Linked DNA regions of Daphnia pulex. The protein of the gene in region 1 purifies or fractionates together with the protein of each later gene. This does not show direct contact. Links are inferred from orthologs where the notes say so. Each region holds a gene or a part of one and is shown on either strand. Other genes may lie near its edges. The genes, in order: cdc42 homolog and formin-binding protein 1-like.

Evidence for each region.
Region 2: the proteins of cdc42 homolog (region 1) and formin-binding protein 1-like purify together in Drosophila melanogaster (affinity purification with western blotting; 4 studies listed by BioGRID). This does not show direct contact. The link is inferred for Daphnia pulex from reciprocal best matches to the Drosophila melanogaster genes Cdc42 and Cip4.

Annotation. Positions count from the first base shown.
Region 1 is NC_060017.1:3,179,191-3,194,310, reverse strand, and holds cdc42 homolog, read left to right. Parts: upstream 1-8,409; 5' UTR 8,410-8,564; intron 8,565-8,768; 5' UTR 8,769-8,787; coding exon 8,788-8,892; intron 8,893-8,954; coding exon 8,955-9,027; intron 9,028-9,108; coding exon 9,109-9,218; intron 9,219-9,277; coding exon 9,278-9,475; intron 9,476-9,547; coding exon 9,548-9,637; 3' UTR 9,638-10,101; downstream 10,102-15,120. Other genes in the region: histone-lysine N-methyltransferase PRDM16-like, read left to right, coding at 1-509, 3,180-3,921; nucleolar pre-ribosomal-associated protein 1-like, read right to left, coding at 6,880-7,407, 7,477-7,698, 7,772-7,801; alpha-tocopherol transfer protein-like, read right to left, coding at 10,795-10,959, 11,049-11,159, 11,217-11,410, 11,476-11,626, 11,696-11,784, 11,843-11,915; alpha-tocopherol transfer protein-like, read right to left, coding at 12,623-12,784, 12,853-12,963, 13,162-13,355, 13,413-13,563, 13,629-13,717, 13,793-13,841. UniProt on the Drosophila melanogaster protein: Regulates mbt kinase activity and is also required to recruit mbt to adherens junctions. Together with mbt and Frl, regulates photoreceptor cell morphogenesis. Together with Frl, has a role in the neuronal development of mushroom bodies.
Region 2 is NC_060028.1:4,801,778-4,817,185, forward strand, and holds the start of formin-binding protein 1-like, read right to left. Parts: upstream 6,954-15,408; 5' UTR 6,771-6,953; coding exon 6,747-6,770; intron 5,541-6,746; exon of another isoform or gene 5,387-5,540; intron 5,261-5,386; coding exon 5,145-5,260; intron 5,069-5,144; coding exon 5,018-5,068; intron 2,139-5,017; coding exon 1,991-2,138; intron 1,171-1,990; coding exon 898-1,170; intron 520-897; coding exon 349-519; intron 255-348; coding exon 1-254. Other genes in the region: very-long-chain (3R)-3-hydroxyacyl-CoA dehydratase-like, read left to right, coding at 6,999-7,049, 7,114-7,155, 7,688-7,813, 7,946-8,062, 8,137-8,247, 8,314-8,539, 8,796-9,036, 9,103-9,225 and 1 more; huntingtin-interacting protein 1-like, read right to left, coding at 9,860-10,023, 10,096-10,325, 10,390-10,489, 10,556-10,859, 10,931-11,241, 11,334-11,420, 11,509-11,680, 11,758-12,042 and 14 more.

The DNA.
Region 1 (15,120 bases):
AGTTCGTCTTCCGGTCGGGCCACTTCGTCGCCGCTGCTCTGCCCGTCCACGCTCCACCCTGTCATGCTGGAGGCTATGTACCGCTCCATGGAGAAGATCCCTCGTCTGACCACCGTCTTCCCGGGAGGACCGTATCCGCCGAACCAGCCGCACCACCAACGGCCCTGTCCGCCGCTGATCCATCCGGCCACTGGTCTGGTCTCGCACCATCACCACCACCAAGCGTCCAGCAGCGGCAGCAACTACCCGCGGCTCGGCCGCCAGGAGTCGTCCAATTCGAACAAGACGGGCAACGCGTCGAGTAGCACCGGGGTGAACAAATCGCGCGACCGCTACTCGTGCAAGTTCTGCGGCAAGGTCTTCCCCCGCTCGGCCAACTTGACCCGCCACCTGCGGACTCACACGGGCGAACAGCCTTACAAATGCAAATACTGCGATCGCTCCTTCTCCATCTCGTCCAACCTGCAGAGACACGTTCGCAACATTCACAACAAGGAGAAACCGTTCAGGTAAATACCGTAGCTACTACATGTTTTTTTGTTTTGTTTTTTCTTGTTATCTTCCATTAGTCTGGAAAATTTCCTTTTTCCACTCTACGCGATGTCCAACACGCAACTTTTGAGTCCGTCTCGTTATTATTTTTTTTTCACCGCGAATAACCAGTTTTTTTTTTTTTTTTTGTATTTCAAATCTTAAATGGCCAAATGTACTCGCTAACCGGCGCCGGCTGCGCGCGGATAGATAACTATATAGCCAACCGAAATTCTTTCAATTGGTTTTACTTTCTGTTGGGTCAAGCGTGAAATGCGATGCTTGCAAAGAGTCTCTCCCCCCACCAAAAAGAACAGTTATTTAGCTAGTCATCATGTTCTTGAGAAATTCGGAAATTTCCCTTTTTTTACCCGAACATGAAGGGAAAGAAGAAAAAAAAAAACAACTATAATGACGACTTTTTTTCGGTGCTCTCTTTCACTTTGGTCTATTTAAAAAATAAAAAAAACGGACCGGCGGGCGCGACGCAAACTTTCTCTCCCGATTGGACGGAGCGCCGCGCAAAAGTTGTTAATGTTCGAAATCCCTATAGACTTTTTGACTGTGACCGAGCGCAGGCGGCCCAACGGCACGAATCCTCAGATTCATATTTCATTCGCCTTTTTTCTTCGGTGAAGCAGAAGCATTTCCACGACCGCTGTGTTTTTTTTTTGGCGCAATACTGCTGCGCCGCCTCGTTTTGTCACGCGTTTAAAGATGCTGTGGCGCTAGAGCTCATCCCTTCATTAAAAATCCGTTTCTCCCATTCCGCTGTGGCTGCCCTTCTTCGGCTATCGTTTTTTTTTTTTTCTTTTTTCACACAGGAGAGAGAAGAAAGCCAACTCTATTTTCGTGTATTTTGAATGCGGGGGAAGAAACCCCCCGCTGCTCGCTTGCATTGATTATGAATCTTCTCTCTCTCTCTCTCTCTCTCTCTCAATCGTGTGAAACTGAAAGCGAATAGGGGAAAAAAAGAAGTCTCGACATTTTTTTTTTTATCTCTTTCATCACAGGTGTAGCTTTTCATTAAATATTGTAAAATAAAAATAAAAGTTGTATTTTCTACTGTGGCCGATGATTGATATACCTGGTTGCAAAGCGGGATTGGAAATGGGGGTTTTGGGAGTGGTGAGGCAAATCGACACGGAGCGTTTGCGCTGAATGATGTCACCGTTAGGACCCGTGAATGGTCATGTACGTGTGCAAACACACACAATATGAAGAAGGTGTTTATACTTTCTTATTGTAGCTGATTAGACGAGAGGGATGGCTTACCATCAATCTGCTGTGTCCAGTGGCCAGCAACAAATACAGGTCACTGGCGGCCAGGAAAACTTGAGCGCATTTTCAAAAAAATAAAACCAGACACAGAAAATCTGAATTTTAAATATGAGTAGAGAGCGAACAAAAGGGGCAAAAATTTCGAAAAAAAAAGAGAAGAGGAAGAAGAAGATGAAGAAGAAAAAGTATTTTGAACGCGTGACCAAAAGAGGAGCGAACTGGATTGGTTAGCAAAAAAAAAAATATAAATGAATAATAATAAAAAAAACGTATATCTATACGTATACAAGGCAGATGTAGCGAAGGGTGTGTGATCACGACACGCCAGCGTATAGGAACCGCCCTGAAGACCAAGGCAAAAGCTGCGCAACGATTCTTTTTTCTTCTTTTCTTTTATTTTTTTACGTTTCGTAGTCGAATAGGATCATGCTGCATACTGACCTACTTGAATTGCTGATCGAGATTCTATGTGTACGTTCGCCATATAACCAAACAGCGTCAGACAGCAGATACACATAAAAAGAAAAAGGAAACGAAATAGAAAAGAAACAAAACACCGAAAATCGGCGCGGTCATGCTTCGTCGGAGCTCTCATCGCTTTGGGTGGTAGGTGGCAATTTTGGGAATGTCGAAATCAGATAGAATATAGAAATAAAAGAAAAAAAGGAAAGGGAGGTATATATACAAGATAGGCCGATAACTCGAGAGAAGGAAGACAAAGAAAAAATGGCTTCGAAACAATAAAAAGTCGAAGAAGAAGAAGAAGAAGAAAGAAGTCAATCGATAGATCGCATAGCGCTGAATGGAAAGTGCTTGTCGCGCGCAATTCGACTTATTTGAACGGGCCGTTCCGCTCTCTCTGGTCAGCCAGCAGTCGTCATTCCTGGCTGCGGCTGATCCGCCACCGTCGAACGTGAGCGATCACGGCCATCGAGCACATCGCCCGTGTCCTTGTCTGTCGCGACTATTCGCCATACTCATTCGAAATACTCCTCCTTTCAGCGCCCCTTCTTTTTTCTCTTTTCCTATTTGATTTCTCAACTCTTTTTGGTTATTTATTTGCGGTTCAATGATGTCGTCATGCGGGTCCTCTCCGCTATCCCAACGCTATATACATCACTCCTCGACATTGCGTATACAATATACATCGCTATCAAACTCGCTGTTCTGTCAAATAAAAATAATATCACACTTTATTATCACGCTCTTTATTATTCTGCGCATGTTGTTTTTTGTTTTGGTTTTCTCTCTTCTGTAACATTGCCTTGAAAGGGTGAAATGATATCGACAGGAAATGTTGTTGGCATGTTCTCGTCTATATTCTCATTCACCTTGACTCATCGTCTATTTCGTTTCTCTGACGGCAGGTGTCCGCTGTGCGACCGCTGTTTCGGGCAACAAACCAATTTGGACCGACATTTGAAGAAGCACGAATCGGACGGGCCCACCATTCTGGACGAAGATCGTAAGCGAAGTCGTGCGGCCGGAATGACGGCCGCAGCCGGCGCCAGGCCATCTGGCGTCCAACTCTTGAGGCCGCCGGCCGCAGGATTTTATTACGCCGACTTGGCCGCCGTCGCCGCCGCCCAGCATCATCACCAGCAGCAGCAGCAGCAGCACCGACGGGCGGCCATCCCGGATTTGCACCACAACATTTCGCCGATTCTCAACAGCCGCCTGGGCATGATGGGGGCTCAATCTCCCGTCCACTCGCCGGCCCAATCGCCGTCCGGCAGCAGCTCTTCCGACCACGACGAGTCGCCAATGAATAAGAAAGCCCGACACCACGAAATCGAGGAAGACGACGAAGAAGAAAGCGCCATCGAATCCAGTCCAGAGGAAGCTGAGGAGGAAGACGATCTCGCCAACTCGAAAGAAACCATCGCTGATGAGGAGCTTGCGGAGAGCTCGGTCAAAGACGAGGCTGATGCGGCCAGCGAGGCCGGCAGCCACAGCAGCAGCGGCGCCAGCAATAGCAGCGCCGGGGCGCCCAGCAGCGAAGGCAACGCTGGAGTTCTCTCATGCGAGGTGACCATCCACACGGACAACAAGTCACCGACTTTGTCGCCAAACTCTGCCGCTATTATCGTCGTCACCCCGTCCAGTTGAATTTCCGTTTGAATATATGACTGATGACTGTGAACTGCTGCTCTCTGTTACGTAAAAAAGTCATCAGACATAATATTGCTAGATAGTTGAATAGGCTGATCACGAATCAACCGACCCCTCCCTTTATTTGATTTTTGATTTTTTTTTGGTTTGTTTCTTCACTCCCAATCTACGGCCCGGTTTTTTGTTTTAACTTTCTCTTCTATTAATTTAGTGCAGTTTCTCTCTTCCATTTTTTTTTTTTTTTGTTTGTTTTCCCGTCCAGCAATACACACACAGACACACGCAAGTACACACACACCCAAGAGACATCACTGACACGTCAGCATGATGATCCGACACAAACACACGTGAAACACGATTTGTTCCTATTTGGATAGCAAGCACTGGTGCACCCAATTTGATTTCGACGCTATTGGTCCGGTAGAGACCCTTGGACTGTATCTTCACTCGGTGACACTTGCACGGATCGTCGCCTATCAGCGACACACATGGACCGTAGCCAATGAATTGAACGTAATTTGAGATTTTATAATTAATTAGTAGAAGAATGATAATCCCCCATCTCATTGTGTTCACCCCCGATGACCTCTTTTCTCATCTCTGTTTTTTTCCCCTCCCGAATTGTCGTTCATTTTTTTTTAATTGGTGGGTTTTCAAACAAATTACTGCTACCTACAAATTTACAAGAAAAACGTAAATGGAAATGATTTTTTTTTGTTTTGATTTATTCGAAAAATTTAAAATAGTTTGTTCTGAATGTTTTTTTTTTATGGTTTATCAATCAGCACTTTTCCCTGCACCATCCGGTAAAAATTCTGCAAATGAGGTACAAAATAGTGTTGAAATAATTCAGAGTGTATTTTTAATAGAAAATATACAGGCAGCTGGGAAAATATGGTTTACTGCTATTCATTATTTTTTTTCTTTAAAATAAAACAGGATTCCTGAAATTAGAATACAAAAAAATAAATAAAACAAAATGTCTCCGGTATTTCTATTTCATCAAAGTTTCGCAAACTGAACCGTAACCTTAAGATGACTCATAATTGCAACAACACCCGGACACCATCTTAGTACGTTCTTCCCATAAATTCGGAATAAAAAATGATTTAAAAAAAGAAAATTTTACAAACAATAAAAAGCGAAAACAAATATACCTGCTCTTTCGAATACGATTTAAAAATGCTTGAAGCCACAAATTCGAGACAATTGATATTTGATCAAAAAGTTGTAAGGGAAAAAAGAAAACGGCGATAAACGATTCAATTTAATGAAATTGGTGGTCTCAGATGGTCACACACGCTCGCATAGTCGCATTTTTCCCATGTTTTTTTTTTGTGGCTTGTCGCTTGCGGTCAGAGCTATAGACACCTGGTCAGTTCATGGCTGTGTTGGCTTCCCTATCCCGGTTTCAGGGTAAACGTAAGCCGATTTGGAAACTTTAAAAAGCGCCTCTAGTGAGTGTGTCAGCTACTACGTGAAGCCAGCCAATCAGGAAGGGTCTATGAAAAACTCATTGGCCAATCACAGCTTACTTTTCTACAAGAAGTGAACAATAATAAAAAGGTAGAAATATCCAACTGTCAAACCTCTAAGTTTCAAGCCGAATTTATATTCGATTTTGAATAGCCGGTTGTTTTCGCACAATCCTAAATTAATTTGCCGTAATTTATAAAATGTTGTACTATTTTCAATGAATGTTTTTACTTTCCAACTATTAGGCTCGTAACTTCAGCACCAGTTCATCATCCCAGCAGTTGGTGAAGGTAAATCATGTGAGTGTGGTACAGGTACATTTAACCTAATTGTGTAATTGTTATAGGCTCCAGTCCAAGTTTTTGGGTTGTAAGGTCGCTATGCCTCAGCACTCTACTCTGCTGCTTCCAAACAGAAATCTTTGGACAAAGTTGAGAGCGAGTTGAAGGACTTTCATGCAACTATCGCCAAAGATTCTCGTTTGGCAGAATTCATTGCCAACCCCACTTTGAAGAGATCACTTAAGAAAGATGCTCTTATTTCAGTTGCCAAGAAATTGAAAATGAGTGCTGTTACAGGCAACTTCCTTGGTAAGTTTTTCTTTTCTATTGGTTTTCACTTTATTCTAATTGTTATTCATATGTTTATGATTACAGAACTCCTTGCTGAGAATGGAAGACTTAACAAATTGGATGTTGTCACTGGCCATTTCTTTAACATGATAGCTGCATTCAGAGGTGAAGTTGTATGTGAGGCCACCTCAGCCGAGGTAAAATATAAATCTAAAAAACATTAAACAATTAAATGTTTAAAAAAATCTATTCTTATATCAAGGCCTTGGATGCTGCTACATTGAAAGAGGTTACTGCCGCTCTTTCTGGATTCTTGCAGAAAGGACAGTCTCTCAAGATTTCAACCAAGGTGGATCCCTCCATTGTTGAGGACTTGTAGTTGTCCTTGGAGATCGCTACATCGACATGAGTTTGGCATCAAAGATTGAACGTTACACCACTCTCCTTAAACAACCCGTCTAGAAATTTTAAGTTGGCTGCGTTATAGTGGGAAAGAAATATGTACATCAAATGGCAAAGATATGCTGTAGTGGATATGAAAAATAAAAGAAATCGTATCACGAGGTTCTCCTTGTATGCAAACAAAATTGTCATTGTTATTTCAAACACCACATTCAGCTAAAGACAATAATTTGTGCACATTATATCTGGTTGAAACATTCGTCTCTTCTTGGTCCATAAGTTCTCGCATATACCTGTGTCTTCGTTCCCAGTTTCGACTAAGTTCTGTTGGGCAAGCCGAGGATTTCTTTTTGGAACTTTCAACTACTGCCAAATGATCCTTTAGATTGGGAAGATTACTCACAAAGCGGGATGAGACTTCAACGAGCTGTCGCATCAATTTAACATTCAGCATGCAGGGAGGGGTAACAAACCGGACGGTCTTCAAATCCTTCTCCTGAGCTGCTTAAATGATGCTTTTGGATTCGTGAATGTGTGAAGCGACGGAGCATAATACTCGGGCGTATTTGTTAAACGTAGCATAGTTTGGCTCAGCTTCATAGAGTACATGCCACAAATTGACCATCAACTGCATTAGCTCACACATGATCCAGGGAGCAATAACTTGTTGCTGCATAGGAAGTAAATTCCAAATAGGTTTTCTGCTACTGATTTTAGCATTCTGCATCTTGGGTTTGTTAGTGGTTTTGTCGGCGGTATCTTCGTCTTCGGCTTCCATCATTTCGACCTCCTGTTCAAGTTTTGCAATAGCTTCTTCGTCGTCCTTTTCTTTCGACTCTCCCTTCTTCAGCATGTGAGTGTAGAGCGTGTCCCACATTGTCGTCACCACCGACACCATCTGACTAGCTTCATCTGCAACGGTGTCGGTCAGCAAGAGGCTGTCAAGCCACATGATAAGGCCACGATGTTGAATCAAGTCATAGGTAATGATTGAATTCTGAAGTGAAGATTGTACGACTTCAAGTATGAGCCGCTGTAAATCAAACAAAGAAAAATGTCTCGATGAAATCTCAAACTAAAATTCAATTACTAAAAAAATAACCTTATCAGTTTTGTCGGACAATAGATTGGATGGCTGCAAGGAGAGAAGGATTGGAAAGACTCTTCTTCGAGCACACACTAAATAGTCCTGACGACTTTTGATGCCATCTTGAAGAAGGCTGAGTAAAAAACTCCTTTGAAGCGACCTCTGTTCAGGTAGTTCAGTGTTATGAAGCATGACGAAAAATTCTGGAACTTGGGTAACATCCATAGCCGATTTTACCTAGAAACAATGAAAGGAATGGCGTTTAAGTTTTAAACGAGAAGGAAATTGCAATCAATTAACAGGAACATACCAGTAGAAAGTTATTGATTGCACGGTACATTGGGTGAGAAGGATCTTGAACGATGGCTGCAGCTTTGGCAAGAAATAATGCAATGATTGGACAGCTTTGGTGGTTTTAACATTTAACAGAAAATTTTGGTTTCCAGGGCATTGCTCCAGCATTAAGAGTCCACCGTTTGTAAGGATGGAACACGTTCAAAATTTCAATCCCTGTTTGAAAGTCACTTTCGTTAAAATGACGGGAGCAAATATGTGAGGTGCTCGTCAAATTACTACATGGAATTACTTCTTGCCATTTTGATAATGAAGTTTTAGGAATTGCAAACAGGGTAACCTCATTTTCTTTTTGATTTCCTTTGTAATATGTTGATTTACAACCAGGAACAGCACACCTGCCAACCATTTTTACATAAATTATGGTTAGGCTTCTTTCACGTAATACACAAAAATGGCCGCCGAAAGTATTATTTGAAACTCAACGTCTTATCACTAGATGGCTCTTTTTAAAGTTTCCACTTCACAACTTCTGACAGGCTCCGCCCTAAAACCCCCTGAAAATCGGCTTACGTTTACCCTGAAACCGGGATAGGGAAGCCAACACAGCCATGAACTGACCAGGTATCTATAGCTCTGCTTGCGGTTGAAGCGGTGGCGTCCTGAAATATTTTCTGACAAGTGGCAACGTTGCACCAGGGACGTTCACGCCTTGATATTCTCCAAGTGTCACTTCCACAACCGCTTTTTTTTGGATATTAAATATTTTTCAGCAAATTGTGCTGATACTACATTTCAAGATATTGATCGTAAGTGAATAAAGTGATTTGAGGTTCTATTCATTGACCGGTTTAAACCAAAGTCTTACTCCACTTTTATGTGTGTGTTTTCGCCCAGCGTCCTATCTATCAAAATGGCTGTCGAATAGTTTCGTTTCGCCCGCTTATCTCGTTGTGATCTGCTAATTTTGTGTAAGCCATTTCATTAATGTTATCTATTCCCTTTCATTTTAGAGTCTGACAGGAAGGAGCAATGCAGACCATCAAGTGTGTTGTTGTGGGGGATGGTGCAGTGGGTAAAACTTGTCTTCTGATTTCTTACACCACCAACAAGTTCCCGTCAGAATATGTTCCAACAGTAAGCTATCATGTGATACTCTCTCAAGATGTTATTTCTAACAGCTATTTGACATTTTTTAGGTATTTGACAATTATGCTGTCACTGTTATGATTGGAGGTGAACCTTACACTCTTGGGTTGTTTGATACAGCAGGTGTGAATTCCTTTCTACTTCATTTATATATATTTTTTTTCATTGTTACTTAACAATATTTCCTTAATTTTATGACAACAGGTCAAGAAGATTATGACAGATTAAGACCACTTAGTTATCCACAGACTGATGTGTTCTTGGTGTGTTTTTCTGTTGTCTCACCGTCGTCATTTGAAAATGTCAAAGAAAAGGTTAATATTAGTAGCTCAATCATTAAAAAACTGCAAACTAATGCACTCCTGTTTTGTAGTGGGTTCCTGAAATTACACACCACTGTCAGAAGACACCTTTCTTGTTAGTTGGAACGCAGATCGATCTGCGAGACGACGCGGCAACTGTAGAGAAGTTGGCAAAAAATAAGCAAAGAGTGATCACTATCGACCAGGGAGAGAAGCTAGCTCGCGAACTGAAAGCAGTGAAATACGTGGAGTGCTCTGCCCTCACTCAGGTAAGTCGAGCAAATTCTGTTTCTCCATAGTCGCAAATAGGTAACATGGTTGTTGGATTATGTCTCTCGCAGAAAGGGTTGAAGAACGTCTTTGACGAAGCCATTTTGGCAGCACTGGAACCTCCTGAGCCTATCAAAAAGAGGAGGTGTAATATTCTGTGAGCAAGACAAATTGACAGCAAAACAGGCAAAATAAAATTTCCTTTATATAAAATAAGGAGAGCTAAAAAAAAACACTCTTAAATGACACCTTGCTACTAACCAATGGAATTATTCAACGAGAAGATGGAAAAGCAAAATACTGATGATACGTTCTTTTTGCCAGTTCTTGCATTAACCAGTTTCAACGTGTCATTATCGTTTCGATTATTTTGTGTGTGCGTGCGCGTGTTTCGCAGGCCATTTGCCGCGCTCTTCCAATCTTCTTTTCATTCATCCTCTACCTTCTCGATCTAGGAAATAACACATACCTGTTCTGTTGCTCTCCTTCCTTTCTCCTCTCTTTCTTTGTTCATAAAAAAAGAAGTAAGCATAACAAAAGAACTTTGGCCTCATCATTGTAATCCTCATCGCAAAACTTGTCTGTATGGCATAGGAGAGAATATACAATAAAATTTTCTCTTATACCTTGCAGTTATTAATGCTGGTCAGTTCAGAATTGTCGCTACATTGGACGATTGCGTCGTCGCAATGTTATGGCTAATCTGCTACTATTTTTATTAATATAAGTAAAACATTTGATTGAATTTGACTTTTGACGCTTAGGATCGCTGGAACAGATGTGAAAGTAAGATTGCGTATGGCACTTGCGCATATCATACATTGATAAATAGTTTTGCCGGTTGGTTAGCAACTCATTTGCTCATTGACGTCATTTATTTGTGTATCAGCAGTTTTTAATCTACTACAAACGAAAAACGAGTTCAATTTTAAAAGTCCTGGTTGGTATGAACTAATATAGAACTTTATCACATGTTTTTGATAAGCTGTCGTTCAGCGACAGCGAAATGAATTTTTTTTTAACTACTCTCCCCAAAGGTTTTTATTTTTACTGTATATTACAACTTAAGTAAATTTTTTTCAATAACCGGCTGAATTTTTATGCAAATTCTTCTCGGAATTTATAAAGACATCGGAAAATCCGTTGAAAATAATTGTGATTTATATTTATTTAGCAACAATTTTTAGCAACAAAAGATATGATCATCATCAATCAAGGCAAGCATAAAAATTTAGATTATAAATCCGTGATTTTAACCAAATATATTAATTTTACTTTTTTCATAGAATTTGATACGTATTAAGCAGCAAGCTTATTTTTAATTTAAACATTCGAATATGTTGGAGTAGTAATCCTCTTCAAAGAATACGCTGGAGAAATGCATAGAACTCATCGGCCCCAAACAACCATCGTAATTGCTTGGTAGACAAGAGGGATCAACGTGGTGATGCAATGTTTTGAAGCACGAACCATGGAAAAACAGCTTCGGGATAAAATCAAATAACTGACATTAGATGCATAGTCTACAACAGTGAAAGGTGATAACTACAAGTGCATACAAAAACAACTAACCCGATTACGAATTTTGTTTGATAAGAAAGGCCATATCATAGCCACAAGAATCTTCATGATCCGAGGTTCATTAACGATATGAATTCCTTTCAAACGAATGGGAAACACGTCCTACAATATTATTGACAGACATTATTTTGAATATTATATATAGGGCTGGGGATCTACCTGTATGAGATCGGCCACTTTCTTAAGGAAAGATGGCGTGAAGTGTCTTATCTGGTGAAGTGCGAAATCTTGGAAATCCATGATGCCCACTACTCCTTTTGACTGAGTTTCAATTTCAGACACCATCATTTGAAAACAGAACACAACAGCACTGTAGACGTCCTCTAAACTGCAACGACGAACATCCCAATTACCTACAAAGTAAAGTTACTCTCTTAACTTTCATAGTTAAAACGAAGACATTCTTGGTGGAATTTACGGGCATTTATTATGAAGACACGGGATCCGTTTTGATCGCGAATGGGAGACGCTAGAAGATGGCCTAAATCTAAAACGTGTTTCACGCGTTCACTCCGCAAATCAGTAAAAAGCTCCGGATAGTTTTTCATCACTCTCAAATAATTCTTTAACTTTTTAGCAAATGAAATAGTTAATTTTAAATTCATTGGAGGATAGTGTCATCATTTAGAATTTTTTACCAACTTCATGGCGCGTTGCACGTCGCGTTTGCGCGCATAAATAAAACACAGCATCAGTTCATCAGGTATCTGGAAATTAATGTCGGATTCTGTGGAAAGCAGAGAATTAGTGAAGAAAACGAAGCAACTTATTACAAACGAATTTACCCTTGATGAGTGAGCCGAATTTGAGTAAGAGCTCATTGTTGTTTTCCATTTTATTTTCATTTATGTTGCTCATTTTTGTTATTAGTTGCAGATCGATCACCTATCACACGGAAATTGTTGTTTTAATGCAGGCACGCACGAATATAGTCAGACTACCGGTGTTTGCGGGTGGGATTTACTGCAGGCGGAAGATATTGAGTAATAAAGTCACACAATTTTGGCAGTTAATTAAATGAAAAAGAGTTTACTACTAAATTAAATTTCAAAATTAACTTTTTAACTTAGCGCGCTTATTTCAAAATAAAAAAGCATCAATATTTTCTCACTTACGATTTTCTGAACTGTTTGACTGTCGGACAGTAGCAGGTCGGAGTATAAGGACTGCTGTCGATTGACTAATGAACTACGAGTGATATCTTCAGTTAATGTATTGTGGAAAAAAAAACTGATCCGGGTCTTTGGCAATAACTGACCCAAATAATTTCGAGCAACCGGCTGTCTATCTCTGGAGAGGGTTGATCTACATAGAGTACACATGCAGCGCGTGTATGCTCTTTCGTTTGACCTTTATACATGCTGCTGTTAAATGAAGGAAATGTCAAAACTCGTGCCTTTTTAAAATATAATATGCGGTCTTCAAAAGTTGCTTACGCTGCCTTATTTTAATAAGTTTCAAGACCCATTCGTTTATTTGCTTACATCAATTCAGTTTACATTTTCAATAAAAAAAGGAGGGGGGGGGGGGATATTTGACTTTTATGGAAGATTTAAATCACAGTGTTAGTTCAAGTTGAATAAATTGCAAGTTTCTTCAATGGAGACTTTTGTGTCAGGCAGTTTTGAGCAATCCAGCCGCTCTCGAAAACCGCCGTAATCTTCTGGCAAATCCGCAACGTCTACGTATTCGTGCAAGGAAGCCCAGCAAGATCCGTGATATAGCATCTTTATTTAAAGAAAATGTAAAAAAAAATGTAAATAAAAGATTTAGACCGCAATAAAACCGATATTACCCGTTTTTGGATTTTAGCTGACAGGAAAGGCCAAATAATGGACATAAGGGTGTGAACAATCCAATTTTGATTAACAATATGGATAATTTGAAAGCTTATGGGAAATGTTTCCTGTAATAAAAAAAATTATAAAAACAAAAATGAATAATTAAAGATTTGCAAATCTGCTTTTCAAGTTCGTACGTTTCTCATCAAGAATTCGACTTCAGAAACGACAAATTTTACATAGCATGTAGTTCTGCACGAATTGGAATTCAGCGATTCCTCACTTGATTTGCAAATTTCTCAAATAGTCAAGAAAATTCGTACTATTAATAAATCAGCAATTTTCTTGGCATAGCTCGGCGTAAAGTGCCTTGCTTGGTGCAGACCGAGGTTTTCGAGATCAACAATGGCCACAATCCCGTTTATCTGAGAGTCAAGATTTGAAGCGAGCTGTTGGAGGCAAAATAAGTTACAGCGGAATATGTCATCTAGGGAGCATTCCTTCGGATTCCATCGCCCTACGTTAGTCAAGATTTTGTAACACTTGTGATTGAAAACGTCAAGATTTGTTATACCTGCTCGGAAAATAAAGATACGACGGCCTTGCTTATCCCTGGATTTATAAACGAGTTGCAATTGTTCCTTCAGCTGAAAACGCAATTTGAATGCGGACAAATTGGTGAAAAGTTCAGGATAGTTCTTCACCATTTTGAGATAATTCTTGAGCTGTCAATCAAGAAGGAATATTAGTTAAAAATGAATTCAGTCTGTAAAGAAAGTCAAATTCTAACAGATTTGAAGGCTCGATCTACGTTGTATTTTCGCGCGCGAAGGAAGCAGAGAAGGAGCTCCTCCTTTATCGGGTGTTCCAAAGTCGATTCTGTAACGTATAATAACATCCTGGTTTAGTCGGGGACACGAAGAGTTCATGAACTAACTGATAAACATTTGGTACCGTCAACGAGAGCGCGGAGGCGCATCAGTCCATTTACTTCGTCAAACATGATTTAAAATTTCCAAATGCCTCGGCGAAAGCAACAGAGTTGTGTCAAACAACCGAGGACAAAAATTAACTTGATGAAATCCTTTGAAACCTAATAAAATTGCAATAAAAAAGAAAATACATTAGTATTCCAACAGTTTGGTGTAGTGAAAAAAGGGCAGTAATTCCCTATTGGCAAACCAAACATGTAAAACAAACATGATTTGTTAGAAAACATTCACTGTTCGCCATATCTTTTAACACAAACTCAGCATCGTACCCAGAGTTAAAAGTTTATTTTTAAAATGTCTTCAATAATAGGCTAGACAGCGAACACGCACTGGATTGTGTTTCAAGTTTCAACGCTAGAAAATAATTTTATTAGGAACAAAAACAAACCAGCAAGAAGATAGATGCTCTCAAAGTTCAGTACGTACTGTAACACGTGAACAAAACGTGAAGGTTAGTGAACTTGCACCGATCGTTCAAATGGGGCATCCGCAATTGGACATGTAAACCACTCTTACTTTTAAGTATTTCCAGTGAATCGCTGTACGCTTCGTGTTCTCTATCCCTCGGATTTTAATTTTCAACTGACTATTACAACGCAAGAACTGCGAACCTAATATATAGCTCTTTCTTCCCCCCAGTATTTACGCCCTTGAAAGGCTTTTTTTAAATGCTTCATTTTATAGCCTTGAGGACTGAGGAGTCCTCCTTGGTCGCCTGGACACACGGAAGAAGAACCGCCTCTTTGACGCTTCTCGTTTCGTCGCCATCATAATAAACTCCTCTCTGCTAATCTGCTCAGAGCCACGACTCGTATCACGGCGCCTAGCTCTGTTCAGTGGCCTTGAATTTGTTCGCTTCGGGCTCCAACACGGCAGGGAATTGATACATTTTCTTGAAAATTCGAAATTCGTTTCTAAATACGCAATATTTTTATGTAATGTAACACTACATAATAACATGTTTTCCAATTTCGACTTGGACAACAAGAAATACAGAAAATAAAGGATATTCTCTCCTCGGATCGGTTTGTCAAAATTAATGTAGGATTAGCTTAATATTATTATGCTACTGTGATTCATTCATTTATTTACTAATATGTTTTTTTCATTCACAAATGAATCGCATGTCCTTAAACGATTCCTGTTCCGCATTTGGCGAATCTTTTCAAGAGGTTTAGTGTTACTTCTAGACTGTGGCCGTCACTCTTTAACACAAAAATTTAAACGTATTTTGTTCGGGCAGACAGACGCTGGGAAAATATCGCCGTTCTCGTCCAAATATCAGAATAA
Region 2 (15,408 bases), on another chromosome or scaffold:
CCAGCGTTGAATATGCTAAAGATGCCGGCGCGTTTTTTGAGTTTCATGGCGGTTAACGTGCCACCTTTCGATTCGGACTTGAGGATGCCACTCGAGGTCAAGCTGATGGTCGAATGAATGGCGCCACTGCCGCCACCATTGCTCGACGAGTCCGAGCCGACGCTGCCGCTTCGCATATTACTCAGGTCTTCGAAAGGCACGTCTTCCGGTGGCGAAAACCCGGATTTGTACCGTTCAATAACCAGCCGCGAGTCCTGACCATAAAAATGACCAAAAAATATCAAACATAAAAAATCAACAAACAAAAAAGGGGGCGTAAATAAAATAAAAATCAAACAATCAGGTCACCTTTTCCGGATCGACGTTGTCGGCGGCTCGGACAATTCCGTCCAAACATTTATTAATTATGGGAAAGACACTGCGCTCTATATCCACACCTTTCCTTATGAAATTCTCGACCTGTTTAATTCTTTTGTCGTCTAACTCCTGAAGGGTGTGGAATACACCTGGAAGGGCCGTCTGCAAAAAGAAAAAAAGGAAAAAAAAACGTCAACATTATTTCGATCAATAAATTAGAAACGCACTAAAAAGCACAGGCCAGATTTTTTTTTCTTTTTAAACTATTATTACGTACACGCCATGTTGACGTTAATGCAACATCTGCCGAGACAGCTCCTCCCAACCACAGCGAGGGAGCACAAATAATGACAGCATCACAATCATTTTAGCGCACTTATTACCATCCGGGATGGTCCCGAAACCTCGTTGGCTGATAATCAGGACAAGCTCGCCAAAAACGGTTTGACGTTTTTCCTTATTTTAGTCTTATTTCATTTTTTGTTTTTGTTTTTTGTTTAAAAAAGATGAAAAACAAAAAGCCGTTGGTTTCCCACGCACCTGATAATGACACGTCTGAAGCTCGTTGGCTTTCTGGAGTTGCTTGGCGTACTCGTTTTTGTTGTCATCGCACTGGTGACTTTTGATGGACGAGTTGATGCGCTGCTTTTCGACGTCGGCCCGCGAGAGGTTCAGATCGGCATCGGCTTTGCGGTACGCGTCCTCGGCCCGCTCCGCTTCCCGGAAAGCTTTTTCGTAGTTTTTCTGCGCTCGATCCAGCGCCGACAACTGCTGGTTCAACGAAGACTGCAATTTCGCACCTTCCTGTAGGGCCTATCAAACAATTCAAAAATAATCAAATCAAATCAAATCAAATAATGAAGTCATCATGAAACAAATTATGCGCCGCAAACCGATGAAGCCCATCCACAACTTTCATTCAATTGAAAAAATAAGAACCTAATTTCAAAAAGGAGATGGAAAGTAAAACGTCGAGTCTCAAGGTTGCCATCGAATTTTGAAAGTGTGACACACCCTTAGGCTATTATTACCCAAACAAAAGTCTGTTGGCTGTTCAGCTTCTTTCCATTTTGGACGTTGGTATTAAAGTAATGGATATATATCTGTTTGATATTAATTTATTTCTCTTTGTTTGCGTTACGTGGGGAGGAGAGAAAAAAGAAAAAAATTGGCTGCAACGCCAAAGGCCAAAAGCTACTGCTGGAAGAAGAAAAGTGGATTGAATGGGACACGCACGCCCGCACTAAAGTTGGATAACCACCACCCAACGAAAACAAGACAATGCCTTCAAACCGCTTGATGATAATCACAACTTTCCAAGTCTACATGCCCTTGAAGCACAACGTGTATGTGTGTGTGTGTTTGTTTCAAGTTGCGGCTATCCACGTTCAAGCATGAGAAGGGATACCGTCGAATTCCGTCGTTGCTACTTCCCCACTACTCGCAAGCCACTAACGAACAAACTTGTTAATAAAAACGATTTAAAAACTTGGAAACCATTTCCGCTTTTTTTGAGCCGCAGAAAAGTTTGTCTTTTTGGTTGGGGTTAATTTCAAACCGTGATGGAAGATGCTGGACCTATCCAAATGCTAGACGATTACGAAGAGAGTCATAGACAGGACGTTGAATATACCTTTTTGCGTTCTTCTTTCAAGTCTTTGACGAGAGCCACAATCTCTTTGGTGACGGCAGAGGTCAGGTTTTCGGCTACCACTTCATGTTGGCCGGCTTGATCGTTGACCTCGGTCAGGACATCACGAAAGGCTTTCTGGCACGAAAATCTGTTGATGAAAAATGGAAATTAGATCTATTATGCCACACGTTCAAATTCAAAGTCGATGCCGGGCCCGAGCTGCGGCAAAAAAAAAAAAAAAAAAGGCACAGCTGGTTCACCATGGACGTTCGGTGCGCCGCATGGGAACCCATTACGAGTCGTTCGGATACGGTGAGATGGATACGAGAAAAACACAACATGAACAAATTTCAAAATAAAAATGACGACGCACCAGACGAAAGAAAAAGCAATCGAGAGGAGAGAAGCAACAAGAGAGAGAGAAGAAAAATCTCATTCCCAGGCTCATCGTGCACACGCACGCTCGAGTCCATTACGAAAAGGAGGAAAACAAATAAAAACGCGAGATGCTCACACGGCCATATCTCTCGCCAATCGGAAATAACAAATAACTCGTTTTTCTCGTTCTCCCTCAACCCGACTGCGAAATAGGTGCAGTTTGAGTTGCAACAGCAGCAGCAGCTAATCGCACATTAGCTTGATGATGATAGGAATTAGCTGCTGGCCGTCATATTTCCCTTTAAGGATCGTTAAAGGCTAATCATCTGGGATTGTGGGTTTGTCACCTATTGGACATTCTGACGGAATGACTCAGCAGATGGTCGCCATGCCTTATTGTCGTTATCCTCCCCTGACGACCCAGAAAGAGAGAAGCTAGAGAGAAGAGCCATAGGATGTTGGTGGGTCTGATTAGATTTTCAGCGACAACTTCCCTCGAGTGCGGAGATAGCAGCCGAGGAAGCGCACGAATTGCGAATCAGATTCAACAGTATAATCTGAGAAACGCAATGGAGCGAGACGGTAGATAGGGAATTGTGGAGCAACACGACATAGCCCCCTTTTCAGTGCGTGACTGAGTAATTCTTCCTCCGACAGAGCGACAGGAAAAACAAAAAAACACACAAAAAACACGAAAAAAAAATCCAGGGGCTTCGTCTTTGCTTAACAAGATTGTCTATAGAATATCAACCCTTGAAGCAACACTAGCGCGAATAGGATTCGAAAATCTTCTGAGCTCTTTTCTAAAATAAAAATGAAATTTATTTTATTAGCCTGATTCTCTCTCTCTCTCTCTCCTTTTTGATCCATTTTGCGGCGACCTATATGGAGAAGTGAAAGGTCAACCGTCATTTGAAGGCAAAGAAAAACACACGCGCAAGTAACGAGGGATAATACAGAAGGAAGACTCTAACGCAGTCTACAATCATGGGGCCAACCCCTCCCGCCCTAAATTTCGTCTGTTTATTTGAAAAGTCTTTCTCGTTTCCGTTTTTTTAAACTTGACAAAAGTAATAACTTGAGTTTTTATCTATCCCACAAATGATTTCTTAAAAAAAAACCCATTTCAAACTCATAATGTTGTCCGTGACGATTAGTGGTTAATCTTATCTAGCCCACAGTTGAACCAGAAAAACCCATTTGATAATGTTGTCCGTGGTGATTAGTGGTTAATCTTAAAATGTTCATCTATTTGCTTGGTCGATATAAAAATTAAGAAACAATAACTGGAGAATAAGGTTCTTGGATTACAAAAGGTCGAAGTGTACAGAAAGAAAAGGTGTGAACATTGGTGACAAGTGGGTGGGCTGAGAGGATGCCCCAATATTCTACGGTTACCGTCTGAATTTTTTTCTACATAGTTCACCGAGTGTTCCCTGAAGCCAGACAAAAAAATTCACTTCAGTTGATTGGAGCTCATTTTTGGACTTCGTTCGTTATCCCCGACTAGAAAAAAAGCGTTGGGTTATGACCGGAATGGACCACCAGCCTAGTCTCACCCCTTTTCTCCCCCCAACAAAACAAAACTAAACAAACGGAGGACTAGTTTTCAAACTGTTAAAGAAACTCACTGAACCGTTATGTTTCGTGCACCTGATCAACAACTCGTTTGATACTCGTCTTCCTTGTCTCGTCTCCCATCAACCTGCATTCTTCCCAAGTCCGAGTATGTGAGTAATGAGCTGAAGGTGGAAGGAATGCTCGTGATCAAGATAAAAAATAAAAAAAAACAAATACAAAAATCCGACTCGAATGGAAACAACTACAATCATGGAATCATTTCATTTTTCCAGGAACGGAGGCGTCCTTTTCACGTTCCCAGGGTTGCAGTACTTGACGGGGAAGCTACGTTGTTTGATTGGATTGCTGTTTTACTATGCAAGGGTGGGGATGGTCGGCTGAAAAAGAAGGGGGGAGGGGGTGACGTCACCATACGATGAGTCATTGCTAGTTACAAGCCGGTAAGGAAAATAAAAAATCGATAGTTCGTATCCAAGGTTGAAGGCTGTACACAGTTGTTCCCTGGTCAGGTGAAGAACTTGCCTAGATCCGGCAGTTGGCCATTTAACAGATTTCTGAAGAAAAACAGGCAAGGTCAGCCAGTTTGTCCTCTTGTGAATATAACGGGAAGAAATATTCGAGTTTAGTGGGTCGGGCCGTTTAGGTATTCCAGCACGGATCTTTTCCTTTTATTACCAATGGGCGACGCTTTTATTGTGCAACATGGCGAGTCAGAACAGAAAGAGGGAAAAAAAATATTGCTACACAGTATGTAACACCGGCCGGCCCTGTCTGCTCAATAGATAAATTTTATGAATCTGTTCACAGTATATACTCATTGTACGGGATAGGTTACACCTCAGCACGTATGTGATATGCGTCGAGAGAATAGCCGAATCACTGAACTACAACAAGGAAATGGGTCGTTTCCCAACATCGTCTCTGAAACGATTTTAAATGATCTCTCGAATATCGCTCGAATAGCTCGAGGCGTTGAGCATACTGAAACCCAAAAGGGCATGCCAGCGGCACCTTATCCCGACTATTAATTTTATTTTATTTTTTCTTAAAGAAAAAGTTTCCACTTACTGATAGTCTTCTTCCTCCTTTTTCTTCGGCATGTACGACTTCACCAACCGCCTGGACAAACACAAAAGTTAATGAAATATATATTGATATATATAAAAAGGAAATTCAAATCGATAATTTATTATACCTCAGTTTTCCGGCGTACTCGGATTCGATTGCGCACCGATCCCGGATAAAGTTCCCATATCGCTCCAGAAAGTCAATGCCCTTTTGGGTGTGGGCAGCTACGTTGTCGTATTGGTCCTAAAACAATATCAACGACACACATATCAAAAGCCGTTATCTGATTGCACCGGTGACCGATTCGATCAGTGCATGTCGTTAATGCGACCCATCTAAGAAGTTCAACATTCAAAACGATCTTATCACCTTTGATATAAAGTCAAGAACGAAGATTGTCAATCAAATTGCAACAATGGACGAAAAAAATGGACGCCGATCACGCACGTTTCTACGAAGATGTTTAGAAGAGGGAGAAGCTTAGCCAGAAATAAAACAGGAACCTATCTTGTTACGTACAAGCAAGAGAGAGAGAGAAAGAGAGGACAGTTCAGCTCACGAATCACATGACTCAAGCTGAAGACGTCACAATCTTTGGCTGCTGCAACAGCCACCCCCTCAAACAGATTTAGAACAAGCCAGAATAGCAAAAAAGAGAAATGTGAACGAAGCGGAAGAAGATTAGAAGCACAGCTAGACGTGAGTTGGAAGATAAATTCCACGCGATGAAGACGAAATACCCGTGCAATCCGAAAAGGTAAATGAATGACAACAAAAGACTTTGTGGGATTTCAAAACAAGAAGTCATTCCAGGAATGGGGGGGAAACGATCTATTAACAGAAAATAAAATGCATTTGAACAACCGACTACGATTTGATGGAGATCCCGTCTCTCATGTCTTAAACCGGATGGCAACAAGGACACTCGGACAGAGAAAATGAATGTAGAAAATAATTATTTTAGCGAAAATATTTGATGCCAGGATATTAAAACACCAACATTCGACAAAATATAATCTACTGCGATTCATTTGATCACCGATCGATTCGACTAGTTATCGTACACAGGAAACTGACGTGTGCAACCAGAGAAATATGATTTACGTTTTTGCTTAGCAATGGACGGAAATGGACGGAAAAATCAAAATTCTAACGCGGTGTAAAAGGAAATTTAATAATAATTAAGTGCCAGAAGTTGACGGCAATCTATTGAAACATTCTCAACAGTATCCGGTGTGTCGTTCTCAAATAAAATTTCTTGTTAAAAAAAACGAAAAAAAGGACATTTGAGTTTGAACCCTGACAAATGATTCAATTGAAGAATTTTACAGAAATATTTTTCAAGAACTCTATAAAGCAGTAATATTTTCCTATCAGAAGAATTTCGTTATAATTAAGCAAGCTAAAAAATTCGTTCGAGTAACCAAATTTCAAGTCTGATTACACCATGCCAGGCTAGTTGCAACAACTCGTTCGATTGACAAACTTCAAACAAAGTAAGTATTTGTAGTAAAATGAAATGAAATTTACGCTAGGTTTCTCGACCCTATACACCAATCACATGGTGATGGCAATTGTTAGTCTTGATTGTTGTAAAAAGAAACTGAAAATAGTAGAATGCAAACGCTGTAAGCTAGGGATGGGTCGTCTTGTTGACTGCTAGGCTACTGTGGATTTGGGGTGTGTTACGATATGATTAGATTTCAGTTGAAACTGAAATACAACTTACCCAAAGTTCGATTCCCCAACTCATTTTTTTTCAGAATGCTCGTATCCGACTTATCCAATTATTTTCCAAGTTGACATTGCAGGTAAAACATTCAAAATTTCGACACGAGTTTCAAGCACACACACCAACTTAATATGCTGACCAACATACACTTCTGCTGCTAACGCCACTTCGACCAAAACTTTTCTCTTACTCATCGGCCATACCAATTCGACCTGCCGCCTGGTGAGAAAGTCGGAAGGCAATAGTCAAATGAAAAAAAGTTTTCCTGTTTACCTCAGCCATCTACCGTCAAAAGATACAGTATAACCGTATATATTTTTTTAAATCTCCTAAATTGAAATATTTTAATCCCAACTGCCTATAGCTAACAACTATACAGCTATACTTGCAATATACTTGCAATAACGTAAGTTATTCACTTCATTATATTGAGAAATCGCCGGTGACAACTGATAAGAACATCGGGCTAATCTTAGGGATAGGGAGGGAAGCAGATCTTAAAATGTCACCATAAAAAGTATGCATGTTTATTGTTTAACTACAATAAATATGCATAATAAATATTTTGCTTTAACCTTTTTTTCGCGATAACTTCAGCTTGTCAGTTTCAACGGTTTCAATATCCCCGCTCAATATCTGGCAAGTTTAGCTACGTTTAGGCTACTTGACGTTTTGGTGATATTTTTTGTTTCATTTTGTTGTTAACATTAAAATTTGTCATTTTAGTCAAATTGAAAACAGTATTTATTCCTTGTGTTTTTAGATTAAAACTTTCCTATAATACTAAGAGAAGAGTGTAAAAAGTCTCCAATTTGGCAATTTCGCTCGATCTTTGTATATCTGTCAAAAAAGACAAACACGCCAAGTCTAGCAGACTGAAACGTAGAAAAAAAAATACGTTAAATAGGATTTTTTTTACGTTACTTTACAGTTTACAGGACAGCTTTTTAACTAGTCTCTGCTCTCTGGTGGACATGACTTCCAAAGGAAATCCTCACCCATTTGTTTATTGGGCCCAAAATACTTCACACGTTTTGTTACGTGTTGATCTGAAAGACGTACAGGTAATTAATATTCTTGATTCCTTAGCTGTTTACTGCGTCTGCATGGCCACTGCGATCAAACAATGTCGACAAACCACCTTTTGTTACTATTCTTATTTTTCTTTTTGCTTTCCTTGATGCCATGGTATGAAGGAACCTGATGTACAGGTTAATGAAAACCATATAAAGTTTGTAGCAACTGGTGTGGGTGCCAGAGGAACACAACTTTATGAGTTTGAATTGGAATTAGGGGCTAATATAGTCCCTGTGGTATGGAAGCTATTATTATTTTTTATTTAACTGCACATTATTCTAGCTTTAATTTGATCTTGTTATCATCCTAGTCTAGTCAGTATAGAGTTACTGCCCGGCAGATTGATATTAGTTTGAAAAAACAGAATGATGGATGGTGGCCAAAGCTTACTGGATCTAGTTTGAAACCCACTTGGCTTAAGGTATTACTTTAAAAACAGTATTTACAACCAATGGAAATTTCTGTTAAAAAAACATTTTATTTTAAGATTGATTTTGATAAATGGAGATCTGAAGATGATGATGAAGCAGGATTGGATATTTCTTCAAGCAAGTTGGATGAGCTTGATAGTGAAAATGTTGTTGCTGATCACATGAGTTTTAATTTAGAAAACTTAAGGAAGACATACTTGTTTGTCTATAATTTATGGCAATTTGTTGGATTTACATACATATTTTCCATGCTGGTGTTCAAATATTCAACACTGGGTTATGGTAAGTTCTTTTTTTTATTTCTGTGTAGAGTGTACAGTGTTCATGGATGTATTTATGCAAATTATGCTCTTTAGTCCTTATTGTTATTTGGGAAAGTTTATCAAAAAGATCCTAGATCTAGTTTGCATGAAAAGTGTAAATAAAGTAACAAAAGAAAGAGCGCAATGTATAAATATTTCCCTTATGTACTCCACTGCACCTGCACTATCCCTTCGCGGTAAAGACAATTCAAACATTAATTCTTTTTTTCTTCTAGATTTTATACCAGTTGCATACCAATCTGTTCATTACCCTCTCAAATTTTGTCAACTCATGCAAGCATTAGAGATTTTTCATCCCTTATTTGGCTATACTAAAGGAAGTGTTATGGAGCCCACAGTGCAAGTTGGTGGAAGATCCATTATACTATTCTGCTTGATTGAAGCTGAAAGCAGAATTCAAGATAAACCAGTCATTTTCTACTTGATACTATGTTGGTCAATCATCGAGCTTTTCAGGTAATGCGTTGAAATTTTTAAATTTTGCGAGAAACTACGGATTCTGATGAAGTTATGTTGATATAGATATCCTTACTACATGATGAGAGTATACGACAAAGATTTCGGCATAATCACTTGGTTGCGATACACAGTTTGGATACCTCTTTACCCGCTTGGCTTCTTATGTGAAGGAATTGTTATATTGCGGTACGTAGCGACTTTCAAAAATTCTATGTGTTTATTCACATTGTTTTCTCAACTTTCAGAAACATTCCATTCTTCGAGGAAACCGGAAAGTTCTCCGTAGGCTTGCCGAACAAGTGGAATTTCTCATTTCATTTCCCTACATTAATGAGGATGTATCTTTTGTTTTTCTTTCTACCCGCCATGTATACCATGATGTCGTACATGTCAAAACAGCGTCAAAAGAAGCTACAAGTAAGGGGTGACTCAATCCCCTCTAGTAAAATAAAAGTTAATTAAATAATCAAGACTTTTTGTCTGTAAAAGTAAATAATCTGCAAATAAATTGTGTTGTAGTGCTTGGTATTTGAAAAGCAGAATTAATACAATTGGTAATTCATATCATTATTAACATTCCGAAATTTTGGCACAATAACAATTTAAACAGCGGAATGACATTCAAATTCTCTCCAAAATCTACTTGTCAATAAGACAATGGATTTCTTTTAAACTATAAAGATGAAAATGAAATAGGTGCTTATAATAGAAAATAAAAGAAACTTGATTTGAACTTGCAGAACGAAAATTTAAAAAAATTGCGCGTTCTTTACGTTGCAATTAAAAATGACACACCAGCTACAGCGGGTGGTTTGGAAATTTACGAATCAGTGTCACCCGCAAGTTGGTAATGCTGTCTTCTGATAGCCGACAATCGGACACGTTCTTTTTCCAGCAAAGACTCGAACTCCAAAAATTTTATCTGTGACTCCATTTCTAATCGTTTGGCTTGATGCAGTGTCAAATGTGCGAAGTCCAGAACCGCTGAATAGTAGAATAAAAATTGGTTAATTATGGCCATTTGGTATTATCACAAAATTTTTAATTAAAATTTACTCGATTCTTCGACAAGTTCTGCACAATGTTTAGCTGTCGCAACCACCCCTCCAGTAGCCAACGAAACAGCTTTAGACGATTCAGCCAATGCTTGGAGGTTTTTACTTTGTAGTTCTGCTTTAACGCGACTTGCAAACACCAGCTGAGCCGTGGAGGCGGCGATTTCTTGGGATGCCACTGTTAGTTGTTCGAATTTAGCTTGCCCTTTAACCACATTGTCTGCTGCGTCTCTGTTGAAATTATTATACTGTTTAAAAAATTACTTGAACAACCTTTTTTTTTAAATCTTCCTACGTTAACAGCTTCGCTCCGAAACCAACGGCCTTAGCTGCCGACAGCAGACCTTCAGTCCAACGATGATTTCGTTTGTAGAAATCTCTTGCAGTAGCAGATCCTGCGTACGAACAAAAATGAACGTTTAGTTTTAGAATAGCCATTTAGTGTCGTGTTCCAGTTCAACCTTTTCCACGCGCAACTATTTCTTCTTGAAGGACTTTAGCTTTTTTGATTAAATCAACGATTGCCTTCATCAATGCGGTACATGAATCCAGAACCTTTTCGCTCACTTCCAATTTAACTCCAGTGTGGGATTGTTTAGAACTATCCCATAGTTTTGCGATTCGCGCAGCTGCCTCTTCTATAGCTCGTTCCATAGCTCCTAATTCAGACTCGAGTTCTTCGCCGACGTTATGTTCAACGTTGGCTTTCAATGATTCAGTTACAGCAATAACTAGTTTATCTAAATCTCGAAGAGCATTTTCAACCTGTTTAAATCACACAAATTAATTGAATAATAATAAAAAAATACAATAGCAAAAATATCTAAAATGAGTACCAAATTTGAATTCGAATTGATTTCTTCATTCTGGAAAGGCTGCTGAAGAATTCGGAAAAATAGAATGGTTATCTTTCCTGCCGCAACACACTTCTTTAGCATCTCATCAACTTTTTCAATATCAGTTAGACTGTGGGCCAGCTGCTGTCCATGAAGCAATACAAAACCGATCGATTGGGCAAAGGGGAATATTAAGGGTACTATGCGGGATGCGACATCGTCACTTTTGTTGCTTGAACAATATGCATTCAACGACTCGGATAGCGTTTTCAACAAACATAAGGCTCCTTTAATAGTGAATCCACTATGATCTATAAGAGAAGTGAAAGGGTTTAACTTTTAAAATTACATATAGTGATTTCCAATTTGCGAAGCTATGCTGTGCAAACGGTAAAAACCTTACCTTGAAGATTTAAAGCAAGAACGGGAGGTTTTGCCAAGTCTAATACACATTTTTCCAAATATTGCTCTCCCTTTAAAGAGCAATCAACTGATCGATTTCAGACAAACATAGGAAACAAATTAAATCAATAAATATGGATGCTAATAAGTATTTTCATTAGAATTCAGTTTAGTACTTAGAAGCTGATGGAATAGATTCATCGCTTCAAGTTTGCTAGCTTCAAGCATTGATTTGTAATGAGCAGTCAATGAATCATTCTGCTGTAGCAGCTTTCGGGTTTCCTCCTGCAAATTATTTTTTTCGCCATCAATATGTTGCAATTGTTGTTCTAACTTGGCGACACTTTCCTGTCACACATAACAAGACATATTAGGCAATATAAAAACATGTCTTGCCAAATTTACCAAAGTACAACAGAACATACCTTCATTTGGGCACCATATTTTCTCAACTGTTCGCTTTCGTCGGTCAATTCCTTGATATTGTTTTCTTTTGCAATTTTGAAATTATTGAATTCTTCCTCCAACTTCTTACCACTCGCAATCGATTGCTCTAATGCTTCGTTCAACTCCAGAGACTTTTGTTTACTATGATCCAACTCGTTTTTCAACTCAATAGTAGACGTTGTTAGTATTTGTCGCTCTCCTTGAAGATCATTAATCTGTTTTGTCATGGCTTGATTATACTGTTCAAGATCTTCATACTTTTCCTAAAAACAGAAAAATAATAATTCGGCAAAATGGCCAAATATGCGAATGAAAGGAAAATCAAACATACCTTCATTTCTGTACCGTTTTTTCTTAATTGTTCTCTTTCGTCCGTTATTTCCTTGATACTGTTTTCTTTAGCAACTTTGAAATTATTGAATTCTTCCTCCAACTTCTTACCACATTCAATTGATTGCTCTAATGCTTCATTCAATTCCAGAGACTTATGTTTTCTATGATCTAACTCATTTTTCAAGTCAGTAGTAGACGTTGCTAATATTTGCCGCTCTTCTTGAAGATCATTTATTTGTTTTGTCATGGCTTGATTATGCTGTTCAAGTTCTTCATACTTTTCCTAAAAAAAAGACATAAAAATTATCAGACAAAAATTAGATAACCGACACGCGAGAGATGGTTTATCATTAGTAGCGCTTCTACAGAACAAACTTTCATTTTTAATCTAACCTGCAAGTTATTTTTAATAATCAACAAATCTTCCTTTTCTTTTGTCATCTGCTGAATTGTTACATCTTGAGCAGTTTTAAATGCAGCAAATTCTACTTCACCATTTGTTGCGCTCGCCTTTAACGTCTCAAAATTTGCATGCATCTCCTCTTGTTCTTTGGTTTTCAGTTCTAAAGTAGCGCTCAGCTGATCTACTTCTAGCAACAGTTTAGCTTTTTCCTCTTGAATTTGAACAAGCTGATCTTCCACTTCCGTAATTTTAAGTTCAGTCGCTGATATCAATGTCTAATGATAAAATAAAAAACGCACTACGGCATTAGATTACGATTCAATAAACAAGAAAGGCATATTTACATTTAATTTGTTGTTAGCCTCTTGAAGCTCAATTTTTTCATCACCAAGTAACTGGATCTTCGCAACTTCGGCTGTTTTAAGCATATTAAGCTCATTTTCTGCATCTTTCAGACTAGTCTTAGATAACTCGAGTGAATCTTGGAGTTCACACTGAATTTTGTTGCTTTGTTCGAGGGAAGTATTGGCAGCTGAAAGCTTCTTGTCTACTTCAGCTTTTTGACGCAGCAATTTGATGTGCTCATCGCGCAATTTTTGATACACATCTTTCAATTTCACAAATTTGTCTTCCCATCCTTTTGCTCTTTTTCCCATTTCCTAAATAATTTTGTTGTAAAAATATATGTATATAATATTCCTTTAACAAAGAAAATTTCTATAAATTACATCTAACTGTAATTGGACGACTGATCCCATCTGTGCCGATTGGGCTGCATCACTTAGTTTCCGTTCGATATCTTCCTTGTCCTTCAATGCTTCTTCTATTTCGTTTTCTTTTTCGGACATGCGCAATTCTAAATTAAGTATTTCTTGTCGTAGAATTCCATTCTCTTGATTATACTCGGCACGAACTTTCCTCAACTCCGCTGATAACTGTTCCAGTTGATGTAGAAGATGTTCTATATAGCGATCTCTAAGAAATATATATATAGTACATTCTCAATTTTTAAATTGATTTTTCTATAACCATAAAAAATCTGAAACCTTTCTAGCAATAAATCAGGAGAATAGTCATTTCTTTCCGGTATTTCCGATTCCAACTGAACTAGTGTTTCGTCTACCTGCGGCGGCGGAAGGGCTTCGTTTGGTAGTATTACAACTGGTGTGACGTGACGACTTAACTCGCTGGATATCAAAAAATTTGGCGGACTCTATATATTCGAAAGATGACAAGTATTTTTTTTGTTTCTTAACATTTTAAAAATGATATAAGACGTAAATGTTTCAAGACAAATTTACCTCATCCAAGTGTGGTACTTGGATTAATGTTTTGAAATATTGGAGTGTACTGGATTGTAAGTAAAACTGCCGCAAAGCCTTGAATTGCTTTAGAAATCTGATACGGTGGCCTTCCAATGTTTCGGGTGGTAGACCTAGACAATACAATTAATTAAAGCTTATACTTTTAAGCAACAATTAATGTTCGCATACAATTGTGCAGTTTAAAAAGAAGCTTCACGATGAAATCATAAACTTGGGAAGAATCTTGTATGCATGGAATAAGAGGAGCCAGCCGACATTGCCCCGCATTCGTCATAGAATTGGATCGCGACATATCCAAAGAACCAAATACTATAGGGAAAAAATATACTTTAAAAGGGGAAGTTCTTATACACATCAACAAAAGTAAGCACATAGTCATTACCAGCTGCTTGTAGGGTAAGAATCTCATCCATATAGTCCAGCAACTCAACTGATAACTGAAAACTAAGCAACATAAATATACTGAATTACGAAAACAATAAGCCTTGGGAAAATATGGATATTAACGAATTGCCAAAATTGTCTTCTTTCAAATTTTCCCTCTACTAGTACTTTTACCCTACACGAAGGATAATACAAATATTTATTACTACACAAACTTACTATAAGTTAATGTCATGTTCACAAACAACATCAATTCCCTCATCTTTGATCATCAAATTCCCCGGGAATTTTGGATTCCTTCGATGAAAGTCGAGCTTTACCACGAGAAGTCGACAGTACAAATTGATCAACTTCCCATATCCATCTTTAAGAAGTCCCTTAAATTCCACGAGAAAGAAAAACAGCATTAATAAAACTGAAATAACACATATTAGCACATTTTTATTTGGAAAACAACTGACCCATAATTTTCCCTTGTCCACTAAAAATTCTCTGTGTTGCTGTGAATCTTTCTGTAAAAATCAATGTTAATACTAACTTTTAGTTCACCAAATAATGTATACAACTTACCAGGACATTTGGATGTCCCTCACGCAAAATTTTGTGTAAAGTATGGCAGAATTTCCATGCAACAATTGGATTTGAATGAATGGGTAGTCTCAGAACAATGGACCAAAAAGTATGGCTCCCTTTCCCTTGAAATGTGCCAATAATTGCACCTTATTTGGAAAATGTCAATTAAGATATGTACAATAGTGATGACAATAATTATTATTAACTCTAAGTCTTTACTTACTGCGAACATGCTTGGATTTTACAGGTACTTCAGATTCATTCACAGCTTTACTGACAGCTAAGGTCTAGACATTACACAAATAAAATGTAATTGTATTCTGTTTATTTCAACCTGTTTTTTTTACTATATTTTTGTTTAAATTTTATTGAATTGTAGGCTACAAGCTTTCCACAAACCTGTGTTTTTTCAAAATTTTCTCTTTCCTGATCTGTAATGTTTCATGAAGACAATTTCTTAGAATTCTATGTACATACATGCAAACATAAATATTTGGTATACCTAGTGAAGTTCGAGAACGATTCGGAGGCAACGTACGACTAGCCATATTTTATTTATTTATTATTGTTACCAAACTGTCAAATCTGACGGCGACCTGCCCACGAGCCAC